Drosophila melanogaster: one gene and its partners. The protein of the gene in region 2 interacts with the protein of the main gene of each other region in a pairwise test. Each region holds a gene or a part of one and is shown on either strand. Other genes may lie near its edges.

Evidence for each region. The genes of interacting proteins can lie anywhere in the genome.
Region 1: the proteins of Acp63F (region 2) and CG42709 interact in a two-hybrid assay, tested with the Drosophila melanogaster proteins (one large-scale study listed by BioGRID).
Region 3: the proteins of Acp63F (region 2) and CG10650 interact in a two-hybrid assay, tested with the Drosophila melanogaster proteins (one large-scale study listed by BioGRID).

Annotation. Positions count from the first base shown.
Region 1 is NT_037436.4:12,788,505-12,796,191, reverse strand, and holds CG42709 (uncharacterized protein), read right to left. Parts: upstream 6,001-7,687; 5' UTR 5,810-6,000; intron 4,975-5,809; exon of another isoform or gene 4,758-4,974; 5' UTR 4,612-4,757; coding exon 4,559-4,611; intron 2,377-4,558; coding exon 2,192-2,376; intron 2,131-2,191; coding exon 1,877-2,130; intron 1,812-1,876; coding exon 1,536-1,811; intron 1,396-1,535; coding exon 1,104-1,395; intron 1,030-1,103; coding exon 868-1,029; intron 735-867; coding exon 580-734; 3' UTR 108-579; downstream 1-107. Other genes in the region: Atg1 (Autophagy-related 1), read left to right, coding at 7,564-7,651.
Region 2 is NT_037436.4:3,814,008-3,817,953, forward strand, and holds Acp63F (accessory gland protein 63F), read right to left. Parts: upstream 2,348-3,946; 5' UTR 2,339-2,347; coding exon 2,311-2,338; intron 2,250-2,310; coding exon 2,094-2,249; intron 2,040-2,093; coding exon 1,978-2,039; 3' UTR 1,832-1,977; downstream 1-1,831. Other genes in the region: Scsalpha1 (Succinyl-coenzyme A synthetase alpha subunit 1), read left to right, coding at 312-348, 2,625-3,073, 3,430-3,714, 3,777-3,946. UniProt on the Drosophila melanogaster protein: Responsible for physiological and behavioral changes in mated female flies.
Region 3 is NT_033779.5:18,992,860-18,997,589, forward strand, and holds CG10650 (uncharacterized protein), read right to left. Parts: upstream 3,076-4,730; 5' UTR 2,996-3,075; coding exon 2,920-2,995; intron 2,854-2,919; coding exon 2,743-2,853; intron 2,163-2,742; coding exon 1,278-2,162; intron 1,133-1,277; coding exon 927-1,132; 3' UTR 501-926; downstream 1-500. Other genes in the region: CG46465 (uncharacterized protein), read left to right, coding at 1-372.

The DNA.
Region 1 (7,687 bases), 9.0 Mb from region 2:
AGGAATGTGATATGAGGAGAGTATATAGGTAAATAATCAAGTCTATCAGATGTAATCTTTTTAATCTTTTGGTTTCATAATTCAAAACAATGGTTTTCTTTTTTTTTACTATGTACAATAATTACTTTTATTGTATTTTGGCAAAAGTCTAAAGCTAACAACTAGTGTATCTATGGGTTTACATTAATTTAAGTGTTGCGATGAAAATTGATTTTGGGATCTAAAACTAGAACAGTGCCAGGAGTTTTGGTGCGGGATCCCATTTACCGAGTCCCCCTAAAGAACAGAACGCTAAGCGACTAGGCGGCTTAACCTACTCCGACTAACAACTAGAATCTAACAACGGATTCGGTTCAGTTGTTGTGCGGGAAACATTGTAGGAGAGACTATATAGTTAGGCTAGATACCGCGTCAAAGTAGTTAACTAACTAGCCATATACATACGTGATATACATATACCTATTTATAATCTATCAAAAATGCCGTCAAAATGGAATTTGTTCTCGAAACTGGAGGAGAAGGATAGGATTCTCTTTTCATCTTCGATCGTTTGGTTTCGGTTTGTTTTGGAAAGTTTTCTTAGGCTAGCTTATTCAGTGGTATCTCCTCAGTGGGATGAACCTGATCCTTTGGCTCTGGTTTGCTAGTGCGGCAGCATTTGGTTTTGATGCCGCCAATATCCTGGCGGCAAATGAGTCCGATGACGATGCCAATCACGGCCAGAACCATGATGCCTAGTGGATTAAATTGAACAAATTAGTCTGGTTTTGTACCGCAAGTAAAAGGTGTATAACTCAAACTATAACTGTTTAGCAAGATGCTTAAAATAGTTGATGTTATAAACCTTAAACCGCAGTTTGTACTCACAGATGAGCAGCGTGTTGATGGCCTCCTGGGAGATCTGCACCTGATTGGTCTGGCTCTCGGCAGGCGGCTCCACGCTGACTCCGCTTGTGCTGGTCTCGGAGCTCAGGATTCCGGCTTTGACCAGCTCCGTGCTGTTGTCCATTTTGCCCCGATTGCGATTGGCTAAATGCGAACAATGGGAGGTGAGCAACAGACACGTTAGCAAGATGATCTACGAGTCATGGGAAATAGCTCACCACTTCTGGGCGGTGCGGGTGTGGCGGTCACTGGCTTTGCAGTGCTGGTGATGCTGGCGACGATGGGCGGATTTGTAATCCCCTTGAGCGGCGGCTCCGTGGGATAGATGAGACTGCCGTTGAAGGGGGTGCCCAGTACGAATTCGTAGCAGCTGATGTCGTAGTTGAGGAAGCTAATCGTGTCGATGGAGGTCAGCAGGCTGCACAGCTCCTCGATGTTCTGTTGTTCCAGTTCCGGCAGCTTCAGTTTAATTATTTTTGTTAGCGGCGAGAAAGCTTTCGTATTGATTTGCTGTCGGAATGGAAAAGCGTGAGCGGGACAACTATATAGACAACTGCGCGATGGCAAACACAGCTGTTTTGGCTTCAGTTGCGCCAACTATCGATAGAGCGATAACTTGTGCTATCGCACTTTTGGCTCGCCATTCTTACCTGTTTAAAATCGTTCTTGTTCAAGCGCAACACCTCCAGGCCACTCATGTTCTGGAACGTCTGTTCCGGCAGTTCCGTCCAGCTGCAGTTGACGCAGCTGAACTCCACCAAGTCGGGCTGGTTCAAGAAGGATCCGTCCAGGCGCTGGGTTATGGTGTTGTTGCTCAAATCGAGTAGCGTTAGTTCCTTGGCCGCCGCAAAGGTGTCGGGATCGATTTTGGTTAGACGGTTGTTGGCCAGCCGCAGGCGCTTCAAACGCTCCGATCCCTGAAAGACCTACAATAGATAATAAGCACATTAGTTACAATTTATCTAATTAGTAGAATTAGCTGGGCACTTACATCCTTGTCTATGCTGCTGATCAGATTGTGATTCAAATTGATTTCCACCGCCCTGGACAGATTGGCAAAATCCTCCGGCCTCAGTTCGGCAATCACATTATGGCTCAGATCGATGATGGCCGCCGTTTTGGGCATGTCCAGGGGTACATGGGTCAAATGGGCATTGGCACACTGAACGAACTTGAAGTCCTCCAGGCAGAGGCAGTTGCGCGGGCAACTGGGCTCCAGGACATGGTTGCTGCGTCGTGGTATATCTGCAAAACGATATTCATTAGCCTTTTCAGTTCGGAATATATAGATTTATGTTATGCTCACTAAATATTGGTCGAAATGTGGTGGTGGTCGATGTGGAGGATGATTGTGGCATCAGTCTATTTTCTGCTGTCTCCGGCGATTCCTCGCCCGTCGCTGTTTCACTGTAGTCATCATCGCCGTAATTAAAGTCCTCGAGGGGATTTGCCTCCTCACTGCCCGCTGGAGCGGCATTTGTGTGGCTGATGCTGTAAGAGTAATCATTAAATTATTTTCCGGTCTCGACTGAATAAACCAACAATATACCAATTTGGTTTTTTCCACGACTTATAAACGAATTCACATTGCTTATGAAGAAAAACGCAGGGCAATTATATGTCAAACGAATGCGCATTTCTGATAGAGCAATTACTGTACGAATTCGTTAAGTGGTTTTACCAAATACCCAAAATTGTCAATATTTGGCTTTAGATTGTCGGTGGGTTCTAAGCGGTACGTGCTTACATCACTCACGTCTTGAAGGCGAACACACCTAGCTAATTTGTCCTGAAAACGCTCTTGACCCATATCGTTATGACCACGCCATAGCCACACAGAAACATTCGTTTTCCCCACTATCATTATACGGCTATTGTTTATGTTTGCTCCGCGAAAGAACATGAATGAATACACTCACATGTGCGAACAAGCCTACATACAAAGTATTTCTCGCTACAGTCGTGGTCACAGCAATAGCCCTTAAATGAATTAAAAGTATTCAATGATACAAGGCTTCTTAATGCAATTCATTAGATTATGCATATATTGTAAAATATATTTTGCCTTTCGTTTTTTAAGAATAAAGTAAAATCAAATAGATATACTTTCAAGCTAAAGAAAATAAAGAAAGCACACATTTCTTTTATTGTAACTCAAGCACTTTTATTGTCTGTAAAGTTGTTTATTTGTTTCTGTTAACTGACCTTACATTTTCGAAACGTACTGTAGCTACTCAGTAAAAAGCACAGATGAAACCAGTTTACTTCATGGCAAAAGAGACAACTCGACCGGTTTTAGTTTACGATTTCGTTTACTCTCACTTTTTTCAGATTTATTTTATTTTTTTGCTGTCATTTGTGACCCCTCTTCATTTTTTTTTTTGTCTGATTCTAAATCGTTCGTTATCCGTGCATTCGGCGACTTCAGTTCTAGTGGGTTGTATTTACTTTTAGAAAAAAAGGTGTAAATTGGCTAGTAGAGTAGTTCAAGTGAGTCTTTTGACTGCCATGTAGAGTTCTCTTCAATTGCGTGACTTTTGAGTGAAGTTTCAATGAATGCTGCTGAGGAGCCTTGTCAATCCTTAAAAGTGCCAAAATGAACAGAATGAACGACTTTATAGAGTCGAGTACTTGAACCGCAAGTGCTGATATGTAGCTATTAATTGGTATATAGTCCTACCGGATAATAAAGATATATTTATCGAACGTTACGAATTGCCTTCAAGCTTCAGCTGCTCGCCGAAGTTAATGGGTATTACGAAAGATCTCTAAACTGTTACTAAGCATGACGACCTAGTCGACGTAATTCCCTTGACTACTTGAATGAAGTGACTAAAATTGGAAGCGTCGCACTTAAAAGCACTCTACTTTGACATTTGATTTCGAGTGGCTGAAAAGGTTTAAAAAGGCCCAAAAATCAATAGAGAAATGGGCTTATGTGCACTGGGAAAATTATACTAGTACTAACATGCAAAGAACGATTAAAGAATTTTATCTTAGGTTTTAAAACTCAGAAGTATTTAAAAAGATTTTTTTTAGGGCAAGAATATAGAATATTTATACATAATCGATAATGTCTAAACCTCGTTTCAGTTGTAAATTAAAAGAAAAATCTGAAAATCGAGACAGTTATAAATTTCTATGTCATTTGCAATATTGCTTGAGATATTGGTTGAGAAATTCAAAACGCTGAGCAAACAATTTGATAAGCAATAACGGTATAAATTATCGGACAACCGGGGAATTGTTATTATTTTTATCAGAACCAGATTATGCGATATGATTAAGTAGAGTGTAAATTCGTGCACCTTATATATATATTAAAGGCGGCAATTAAGAGCGGTTGCCGTGGACTATCAATAAAATGTTGCTGTTTTTTTTTTATAACCCCATGCGTGAGTATTCCATTTGGCATTGATATCTCAGTTGTGGGCGGGTCAAAGTCCCGTTACCCTGGTTCACCTGTCGTTATTTCGTTTTTAGTGAATTAATCACTGCGAATGTTGCTAAACGGAAACTTTGCCCCGTGTCTTCCCTGTTTTTCGTTTTTAGGAAAGGGTCTACTGATTTCTATAAATAAATGGATTACTTATTTTCCAGCCCCATAAGAATAACAAATGTGATTTCTCCACATATCGAGATCTGTAAATATTTATTACAACTTGATTTTTACCTCACGCTTAGCAAAAATATCAGCAGTAATCCAAACTTGTAGTACACGTGCATTATTATGAATTATTTGTTTACTGATATTTGTTTAGCTTTGTTTTCACTGCGTCTTCAAGGCGTCGTGTTGTTTGTATTTGTGTTTATCTCAGGGTTTTCATAGCATTTTCGTCGTTTTTGCCAAACTTGATGTGAAAATTTTCAAGCTGAAAATAGATTTTATTAGGTGTTAGGGGCCTATTTTTGCACCGCTATTCTCGTTTCACTTTGCACTTTTAATATTCATCTGTTTTGCTTTGAAATTACAGCTTCAAAGTTGATTAATGTCCATTTACATTTGCCGGCTTACTTTTGGCAAAAGTAAAATAATTATTTTTCACTCCGCTCGCACAAACTTTTCCACTCGCTGCCGATTCTCGAATGAGCAAAAATTCGCCAACAATTCCCATTCCGTTCGACTGACTGAACAGGTGTGTGTGTGAGAGCTTCGAAGAGCGGCAAATATTATCTCTTTTTCTTTACTCTCACTCTCTCTTCCAAACTCTCTCATGTTAAGTTTAATGTTTAGCCGTGGTTATCTTATCAGTTTTTAATATTTAATTGCTTTGTCTCATACCCTCGCGATTTCTGCTTAGCTTTTAACCAACTTCTGACTTACTAATCGATTATTATCAATAGTAACAATTATGGAATTCATGTTTTCAATGAAAACAGAAAGAGCAAACTCACACTTTAAGCACCGTAAATAAAGGCTAATCGGTTTGGGTAATCCTATCTTAATTAATAAGCATTACATCACATTAGAAATTAAAATTTCAATTGCCATATTTTCAACATAATAACTTAAGCAGCAGATTTGGAAGTACAAAGAAATCTTTAGGACGGCTTGTAATATTAATAAAATTAATTACACACTTGTCTGATTAGAATTAACGCCGATCGTAATGAACTTTGCTTTGGACTTGACTTATAAGTCGGTCGGCCCGCCTTTTGATATGAAAAAAGGGAAGCTTTCACAGTTTATTTACATAATTTGCTGGAAAAATGTGAAACACTTGGCTGGCTGAATCATAGCGATTAAATTGGACGTGATTTGAGTGAAAAGTTTGTTTGAATATTTGTTTCACCGAGTGCTAAGTTAAACTCTTGTTTTAATCCCGTTTCTAGGTCTTTGTGTTGTGATTGCGATGAACAATGTATAGCAGCAGCGTTCTTTTTATCGCCTAGAATATGTTGACCTTTAGTCCACTGCGCTTACTTCGAATGACACGCGTCGTCGTTTTTCTCGATAATATATGTACTAAATTGGGTATTACACTAGAGAGTTTTCTCATCGAATTCTACTGAATGGAGGAGTATCGCGTTTAAATTATACTTAATGATTTGCTAACTTGGCTTTTTGTTGTCGCGCGATAACGTGCGACTCATGCCACCGTCGATTTGAGAATGAGCTGCGAACGGAACCGCAGAAGTTGCGAGCTTAAAAATTGAGTAAGTTGAAATAGAGCGGCTGAAGAGAGTCTTCTCTTAGCTTTCGAATCGCTCTCTTCACACTTGATTCTTCAAAATAATATTTAAAAAAGAAAGAAAAAACAGAGAAGCCCATTAATTACGCAAGTGCATTTTTCAATAAATCGCTGACTCATGGGCACTTGTTGCCGGGAAATGGCATTGCATATAATTTAGAAATTGTTAAAAAGCCCCAGAGGAAGAAAAACCCTCTTCGTTGCGAGTATTCCACCATTTCCTTCAAACTTTTACTTTTATGTTTATGTTTATGTACTTTACATGTCAATGACTTTTTGTTTAATGTTCTTCGCTCTTCGCTTCTCTTCGGCGATTTTAGCGATTTCACAAAAAGCGAGTGCAGTGAAATCTTTTGTCATTTCAAATTGGCTGTTTAATTGCCTAATGTTGCTTTGTTTGCTCATTAAACTGTAAGTGGTCCATATATTTTCTCATGAAAAACAAAAAATCCATAAAAGCGGATAAAAATGTTCGCCGCGCACATTACTTTTGTTGGTTTTTGGTGGTTGTGTTCGTGTGGAATTCTATAGTCATGTCTTCGATTGGCGGCCTCAAGGTCAAAAATCGCAAATCCTTTTAGGCAACTTGCTCAGGCCAAAAATATAACGGCATTTTGGAGAGACAGGGGTTCGTTCTCTTCATTTACATTTTAGCGAGGGCTGCTTACAAAGTTCTCCCATATCGGGATATTCTATTTTCATTTTCAAGTTTTTCAAAAACTTCTTCATGATAACTGATATTCCTTTTTGCTGTTTTCGAATGCTTAGAGGTTTATATTTTATTTGAACATTTTGTTGCCTTTTGTTTAGCATTCACTATCATATACTTTATCAATGGCTTATTATTATAATATTATATTATATTATATATTAAAAGAGAAAATTATTAATTATTCTCAAATGAGTATGGAAAAATCACTGCAGTGAACGGGCATTTTTAAAAAACCTAACTGGTGCTTTACTTCAAAGATTAAAGATTACATGGAAGTGTATTTAAAATTCCAAGTGTAAATTCCCCTAGCATATTCAATATTCTATAGCTTATTTTTACCCCAACTCTTTCTCCGCATCTGCTGACATAAACCGGAACAGAACCTTTGTTGGGCAAACGACAAAAGAAAAGCAGCTGGCTGTCTGGGCTGATCCATAAACATATTTCCCTAATTCCAGTTCTTGATTCAGAAAATTGCCATAAATCATATTCGCTTTGACCTTGCCGTTTTCTATGATTGACTGGGATTTGCACAAAAGTCGAGCGAGCAGCTGGAAGCTAAAAGATGGAAAGACCGACTGAATCAAATCTCGGGACTCTTTCATTTTCGCACTGATTGGACTTAATTCGTTTGCATGGGTTGCATTCTGCTTTTGAGGTCTTTTGGGGTCCCAGAAGATTTATATGCGCGCTGAACTCTTGACTCGTGGGGGTCTCTCTTAATTTAATTTCCCAATCAGCTCCACTCACGCTCTTCATCCTTTCTCTTTACAGTATTGCAATGGCGGCGACTTGGCGGATTATCTGAGTGTCAAGGGGACGCTCAGCGAGGATACCGTTAGACTCTTCCTCGTGCAACTAGGTGAGATTCGAAAATCCTATATAAGGGGTAGCCCTA
Region 2 (3,946 bases):
AACATTAATTTTCGACGTTTCTTATTTTTTTTTTTTTAATTATCTTTTTAAAATATTTAGCTAATTACATTTTCATAGAACAGCTGTTTGAAATGTAACTGTTCAACTTTCTAATCGATTTGTGGAATACCCCGATTGTAACTTATCGCAGCTAAAATATCGATGGTGTGTCGTAAGCCTTTGCAGTCGCTCTATCGATACTATCGCAGTGGTTAACTCAGCACTATTCGGCCGATTTCGCACTGCATTAATTAAACGCGTTTTAATTGAGTAAAGCTGTTTTTATCGCACAACCACCACACACAGATAATATGGCTGCTTCAATGAGGGCGCTGCTGAAAGTGCGAGGTGCGTATTCTCCACATCGGTTGCCTAACACGCCCGATAGCCTAACAGCATAATAAATTATATAACTTCAATGGATTTACGGCACCAAAAGAACAAATATCCAAGCAATTAGGGAGCACCTGTCGTTCCGACGCATCTGCTGATTAGTCGGCCTCCATTCGGATTAATAAGCGGCTCAATTTGCGAATCCGCAGATACGTGGCTTTGAAATGATTAAAGAGGGGGAGTGCGGGGGTTGTGTTCAAGGTTCGCTTGCATGTGACCCAGCGTACAAACAACCGTTTTTTTTCGGCAACAAGTACAGTGGAACACCGCTTTGGTGACCATCACTTTTTAACTTTTCTCGTAGTGGATATACGTGTATACTTTTAATTTAATAGTTCAAACAAATAATTGCTGCAAGCATTTGCCTTCGTCAAAAAGTTATTTAATTCTAATTTAGTTTGGGATATTTTTTCCAAGCTCCGATCTATATTTATGAATATTTGCCCTTAGGGCATTTGGCATGAATTACTTTTTTGAGTTCTGAAAGCATGGATAAACTTAGTATCGTTCTAAAAGTCAAACTGGTCAGACCTACCTGGCAAACCATTTACTTTACGAAAGCAGACTTCGGTCTTCAGGAAGCTGGCAGTAAGGAAGGTATAGTGGCAATCCGCTGTTATTCCGCACCATGGATCTGCTTTCACCGTAGCTGAATTGGGGGGTTCAAGAACTTTTGGCATTCTTCAACAGTTAGGACACCATTGACTTCTATCATTGTTACAACTGTCACAGGGATGAAACCATACCATGTTTATAGGTATATTCCCATTAAATCTTAGGTAACTCACTGAGTATAAGGATATATCCGAAAATCTTCATGGTGAGATTGAGATTGAATGTTTCGCAAGTGTTGCAGGGTTTTACAAAGATTAGCTGCTAATTACCGAAACATGTCGTATTTAAGGCGATTAAAGCAACAGGTGTGGAATTTCTTAACAAATGTCAAGGCCACAAAAGGCGGTGTTTCTAAACTTTAGATTACATAGATTTTTAAAATGGTAAAAATGAAGAGTTAAATCTTTATTGAAAGTGATCAAGGATATAAAATGCCTTATAATATAAAAAAGTTATTTTCCTTATCTAGTTTTCCTGCATCTGGGTTTACCCCGGGGACACCTTCCGGCCTTGATTTTCAGAAATACTGGACATGTAAATAAGGTTAGGCGAACTGAATACGATAATTGAATTGAACCTACGAGGCTTTCCCAGTTCAGTCAGTTTGCACTGCTCTTGTCCAACGTGCAAAAGACTCAAGCCTTGGAAGTTACAGGTAGCGGCAAACGCGCAGAATGGACTTCCAGCTTTTATAAATCCTTCACAGACACTCTTTCCATTCGCAGTCTCGAATATATTCATAACTGCAGTGGTTGAATAGTTCAGAACGTATGTATTTACTCGCAGTTTCTTGCGTAGAAACTCACTCAGAAATAATAAGAAGCTCAAAGCTTTCATAATCGCACGCAGATTGAGTAGTTTACATATAATTTAATGCTTTAAAATGCTTCTCAGAAGAATTATAGAATATAGGTATTTATAATGCCTTTAATTGAAACATATATGCATGGAAATATTGGAACAATATTACTATTTTAACGAGCAACGCGGTTTACCATGGAGACATTTTCCGGGAATTAGTTCGATGAATCCTAAACGAATCGATTAAGTTTTCTGAAACACAAAAGGTGTCAACAATTACCCACCTGGTTTTCCGTTTTCTTTGCGTTCACACGACACCCTTTTGAGGTAACTTGGATTTGGACCATCTAAGTTACAATCGGGAAGTATTCCGCAGTGAGGATCAAGATTTAGATAAATTGCTTGGTTGCATTTGCTCATAGCATGCACACTTGAAATGACTAAAGGGGATGTAAAAGTAAAACAATTTCGGTTAGCAACATAAGCTCCAAAAAAACTCACACAGAATAAAAACGATGATAGCTTTCATCTTGCAAAGCGACTGATATTCTTAAAGAAAATACTCAACTTAAATAGATCTATATATGGCATGAGTTCTGGAACATATTCCATTCGATCTAGAAAATCAATTATGTGTACTTGGAAAATGGGCAAGAAATATAGGAATTTAATAAATAATAAACCTTTCTCGAACGTTACGCAAATGAAATTATCATGTAACTATGTAAGTTTACACTTGCAGGCTGGTTTATTAATATCCAAAATACTAAATTTCCAACTTTAGTCCTAAAATGATTCATTCTTACATTTTTCAGATGGCTTCGTGGCCGGAGTGCGCTGCAATTCGCAGTACAACAAGACGCGCGGCAACTTGAAGCTGAACGGCGATTCGCGGGTGATCTGCCAGGGATTCACCGGCAAACAGGGCACGTTCCACAGCCAACAGGCTCTGGAGTACGGCACCAAGTTGGTCGGCGGCATTTCCCCCAAGAAGGGAGGCACCCAGCATCTGGGACTGCCCGTCTTCGCTTCGGTGGCGGAGGCCAAGAAGGCCACCGATCCACATGCCACCGTCATCTATGTGCCACCACCGGGCGCTGCGGCCGCCATCATCGAGGCTCTGGAAGCGGAGATCCCCCTGATCGTTTGCATTACGGAGGGTGTGCCGCAGCACGACATGGTGAAGGTGAAGCACGCCCTCATCAGCCAGAGCAAGTCGCGATTGGTGGGTCCCAACTGCCCGGGAATCATCGCCCCCGAACAGGTTCGTACATCTCCAGCGCTTGAGAGATAAGCTTGGCCAGAGGGCAAAGTCCACGTTCATCTGGTGGTTTTCTTATCTCTTGGTATGACGCTCGCTTTGAACTACATATATCTGTTTACTATTCCGTTTTCAATTTGCTTATTGTTAATGTATAAACAGGCCTCCATTGACACACCCTTAAATTTGGGCATTGAACTTTGCACCTGAAGTTGGTGGAATTTGCGGACGATACGTTTTTTATTACCATTTATAACGCTTATCTTTCTATGCGTCACAAAACTTAGTGATTACCCACTTCACTCCACTTTCAGTTAAGTCAATTGTATAATCTTAAACTATGTTTTTTCTGATTGCAGTGCAAGATCGGCATCATGCCGGGTCACATTCACAAGCGCGGCAAGATCGGCGTGGTCTCGCGCTCGGGAACCTTGACCTACGAGGCCGTGCACCAGACCACGGAGGTGGGTCTGGGCCAGACCCTGTGCGTGGGCATTGGAGGCGATCCGTTCAACGGAACCGACTTCATCGACTGCCTGGAGGTCTTCCTCAAGGATCCCGAGACCAAGGGCATCATCCTGATCGGCGAGATCGGAGGCGTTGCCGAGGAGAAGGCTGCCGACTACCTGACCGAGTACAATTCGGTATGAGAAGCCATCACGGATCAATGTATTTCATTGCTAAATGTTTTTGTATCCTATTGCAGGGCATCAAGGCCAAGCCTGTCGTCTCGTTCATTGCCGGAGTGTCGGCGCCACCCGGCCGTCGCATGGGTCACGCTGGAGCCATCATTTCCGGAGGAAAGGGAGGTGCCAACGACAAGATCGCCGCCCTGGAGAAGGCCGGCGTCATTGTGACCAGGAGTCCTGCCAAAAT
Region 3 (4,730 bases), on a different chromosome or scaffold from region 2:
TGTAAATTTTGCTCACCCAATGAGGGGAAAACCAGAACTAGGAAGGGCAAAAAGATGTGCCACATAAAGTTAGGCGAATTGAACGGTTGCGTATCTATGTACTTCAACTTCAACAGCAGTGCTGGAGGACCAGATGGCTTTATGGTGAGAAGCTGCATTTCCGACATGGACGAGAGTTCACTGGAACACTGCGAGAAACATGCAGAACTCTGTGAGAGGTGTTTCGAAGACGATTGCAACTATGTGGAAATAGATAAAAATGGTTTGGCCACGAATGCAGGATCGCGAATAATATACTCAAGTCTAATGATCTTCTGTTTAGCCGGCTGGCTCTTTAGGAGTGAAAAATGCAAACTTATGATTATATTATAGGCCTGTTCAGCTTAATAATGGCAAATTGAAAACCAAAATTATGGAATTCGGCGAAATCACCATCGTCATGTAATGGAAAATGTAATTTGAGTTACCTAAGAATGCTACAAATACTTTCTGAGACATTTCCAACTGGCTCTTCTAGTGCACCCAAACAAATTTCTTCGAACTATTGTTAATATAAACTCTCATTTTGATTGATGCAATAAATATACACACATATATGTACAAAGTATATTATTAATGGTACTGCGGTTGATAAGGCGTTGTGATTATTTCTTTATTTGATAAGGCCTAGCAGGTTGAAAACTCTTTTACCACTAGCCATCAATGAAAACAGGGTTTTCCAAGGACATAATTACTAAACTACTGTGAAAGAGTAATTGTTTTATTAAAATGATTTATTTGGGATTATGGAAGTGTTCTTAAAATGCTTCAGCTCCTATAATTAGGTTATGTCTTTTTGTCTGTTGCTTTGTAATAGTTAACATTACTCATAGACCCAGGCACCCGGTAATTTGATTGGATCATCCAACTACGTGGAGGTGGTTGGATTACAGGGCACTGCGTAGAGCGATCACCACTCCCGTCAGAAGGCCGACCACGCCCACATTCCTGAGTGCGCCTGCTCCATTGAAGGGTACCTTGTTGCACTTGCTCTCCGTACACAATTCGCACTGATGGGCCTCCACTTTGGCATTGCACTGGTACTGCATCAGGTGGCTGGCAGCGGTAAAACATCCTCGCACTCCAAGTTCATCTGGGGGAAAATGTTGAAAGGCAATTGTTAGGATTTTTGCTGGCATAATAATAATGCAATTTGGGAATACCCTTTTACATTATAAAATAAAATCTTTGAAAACTATAGCATTGATTCGCTGTGCTTAGACTTGGTACCAACTTACTCCAGACTCCGCTGTAGCACGTTCCATTGGGGCAGTTGATCAAAGGGAGCGTGTCCGGATATTTGGCCGACCAGCAGCCGGAAACCTCATTCGAAATGCATGTAATGCACTGGAACTCGCCGGCAGCCACATTGCAGCCATTTTCGGAGCAGGAAGTGCAGGCATTGGTTGTAGAGCAGCCAGCCTCCAAGGTGTTTAGGCACCCTCGGGTAACATTGGTTCCTGAGGTCATGGTATAACACCCGACTTCCTGGTTGTACTTGGCCTGTCCGCAGGACTTCGCATTGGTAGCAACCTGTTGCTCCGCACAGTTCTCGCAAATGATACAGGAACCGGCCTCTCGTTCGTAGGTCGGACTATTGCAAAAGTCGGAGTTGCAGACGAGGCAACTGGGATCAGTGCTGTCCGACGCACACTTGATTTCCGTGGTGGCCGATGTGCAACCACGGGTCATGTTGCTCGCAGACGTTCCGGTGGTGAAGCACCCGGCATCGATTTGACTACATCCCGCGACCAAGGTATTTGAGACCGCATTGCAGTTCTCTCCTGAGCAATTATAGCACTGGCGACGATTGGCGGGGAATAGTCCCACATTGCACAGGGATGCCGAGCATGAGGAGCACGTGGATTCCGTTCCAGCAGCACAGGGGTCACCACATTGACGGGTCACCGTCTTGTTGTCATTCAACTGATTCACGCAGACCTGTCCATTATTGGGGCACACTGCATTGTATTGCGTATCCGTCACGTTGGTCGTGGCGCAATTCGCTTCGCCGAGGCACTGCTGGCACACCAAATTCAAATTGCAATTGTCTTCCTTGCAGGTCGAGCAGGATGGTAAGGTGCACGCAGTGCCATTAATCAAGCAGCCACGAGTTAGAGTTCCTATTGGGATACAGAAAATCAATAACTAGATGCAAGGGAATATGGTTCAGAGCAAAACTTCGTATGATTTCTAATATAAACTTATAATGATTTCTAATATAACTTATATATTCCTTATAAGTTGAGAGCCTGCAGATTCTAGTGGCGCCTAAGCTGTGCTAATTTCATTCAGATCATTTTCACGCCCACTCTAAAGCCCACAAAGCGTGCCAGATTCTACTGATACTTCAACAGAATGTTTAAATGTGTACCTTAAACTCCCACAAGCTGAATAAAGAGGTATCTGATGGTCGAGTGACTCCACTTTAGCGTTCTCTTCGTTATTAAATCAAATTATACGCAATATTTAAATCTTAGACAACAACACGAAAAAGCCAGGTAGTGCAGTAACTGCCAAATGAGTCACAACATCATAAACCTTTTTCGATCCGCACGAAATTAGAAAAGAAAACAAGGATCAATAGCTATCAAAAAGAAAAAGAGATAATCGCTTATCACCTTTGGTTGCACTGATCGATAAGAGGGCCACTACCCCCGTCTAAGAATATGAAATAGTCGGTCATGAGTCATACAAACCCACCTGCGTTAATAAGAGTATAGCATTCATTATCACACTCTATAGAAGTTTGAGTAGATGGACTCGTTAAACAATTTCCAGTGTCATTCGTCGTCGATGTGCACGAATAGCACTCTGCAATGGCAATAATAATTTGAAGTAAGTCATTTGAAAAAACTCATCCAAAATGTGGTAACCTACGGAGGGCTGAGGTGCTGTCCAGCTGGCTGGCAATGAAAGCTGCTATCACAATCATACACAGGCTGTATTCTCTCATGGCTCTCGGTTTTCTATTCTTTCTGGCTTCTCAACTGAAATGTCGGACCGGCTGGATCGACCACCGTTTTTTAACTGGCTCCCTCACTGTTTGGCCATATTTTTTTTACCCCCATTCGCATAATCAATTTCACCTGAACTCACTAACACCTGCCAAGCTCTTCTCCGCATGCAGTGGTTATCTGCTCTACACACATATATATGTTTGTATACATATATATATATATATATATATATATGTACAATCGGAGGAAGTCAGTTCTCTTTTAGCTGATAACTTCAATACCCAGGTGTAAATGTGCAAGTGTGTGTGTGTACAACGCTGTTCACATGCGATGATAGTTACCACAAGCCTGCATTTACTTTGGAGCTTTTGCAAAAGCTGAAAAATTAACCCATGCTGCCAACGTTCTTACCGTATTTCCTTAAACGAATATACATCAACAGTAACTTCCTGTTTCCGATCTAGCCGGCGGATAATTGAACACAATTATAACGATAATTAAATACTTTAATTAAAATTTGGTTTGCCTTGGCTGTACGGCAGTTATATGATATATTTTCTTTTGATTTTCATCAAATTAAAATATGGTCAAAAACTGTTGTATATCTCATACATATATTAATACTTACCATTATTTTTCGATTATCCCTATAACAGCAATATGATATAGTGGTCCAACCTATATGTATACTAACTGAAATTGAACGAAGACAAACATGACTGTATCGACTCTACTGTTGAATATACGAATCTGAATGAAATCAATGTACCATTTGCAAGGGTATAAAAATAAAAGGCGCCACCAAAAACTGCATGAATAATCTCAATTTCCAGATTTTACAGGTTCGACAAACTTTCCATTTGATTATGGATTGACTATAGTTCCATTGATAAAAAAAATAATGTAATTTGAACTAACAAGAAAGAACTCAATTCCTATCAGATACCCAGATTTAATTGAATAAATACACATTTGTAGGGTCAAAAACACTTTCTTGTTTCATAGTTTTTAACCCTTATATTCTACGAGGAAAGTGTACAATTATATATGTAAAGCTGTATTGCCCAATTTTCTGGCTAATAACATATAAACAATGTGCCTTAACTACAAGTCATATATCTTAACGATACTTGAGGATTGAAGTGAGACTTTTGTTTATATGTGAACGTTCGTTCTCAAGTTTATAATTTCGGTTACTCGTTCTTGAACTTATGTGTTTGCTTTTAAGTTTTTTTTTTTTTTATCGTTCGTTCCTAATTTAATATCGAAACTTAATTTTTCTCTCAGTGTCTTAATAAAAATTATTATTATTTATTGTATTTGGGCGACTTCTTAAATTCTGCACATGCCGGTGTTTTATGTTATTAAGGTTTAAGTTGAAGTCTAGACAAAATGATTCAATAAAACAAAGTACAAATAGTAAGTACATACTTTTATATCTTTTTATCTTTAGCATATCATTTAAGGTTTTTTTGAACCAGACTGGTATTCAACATAAAGCCATTATCTTCAAAAAATATAACCGAAATCTAATCTGGGTTATCTCCGGCGAATTTAGCACCGAGAGCTAATCATGTTGCTCACACTCAGTACCTTTAAGATCTTTTCTACGCGCGGACGTATTGCTGTTTAGTTGAATTTCTGGCATTGCAATTTAATAAATTAGTTCGTTGGAAAGCATGTTATACGTTGAAAAGTGCAAGTGACTTCAAGCCTAGAAGGTATAAATAT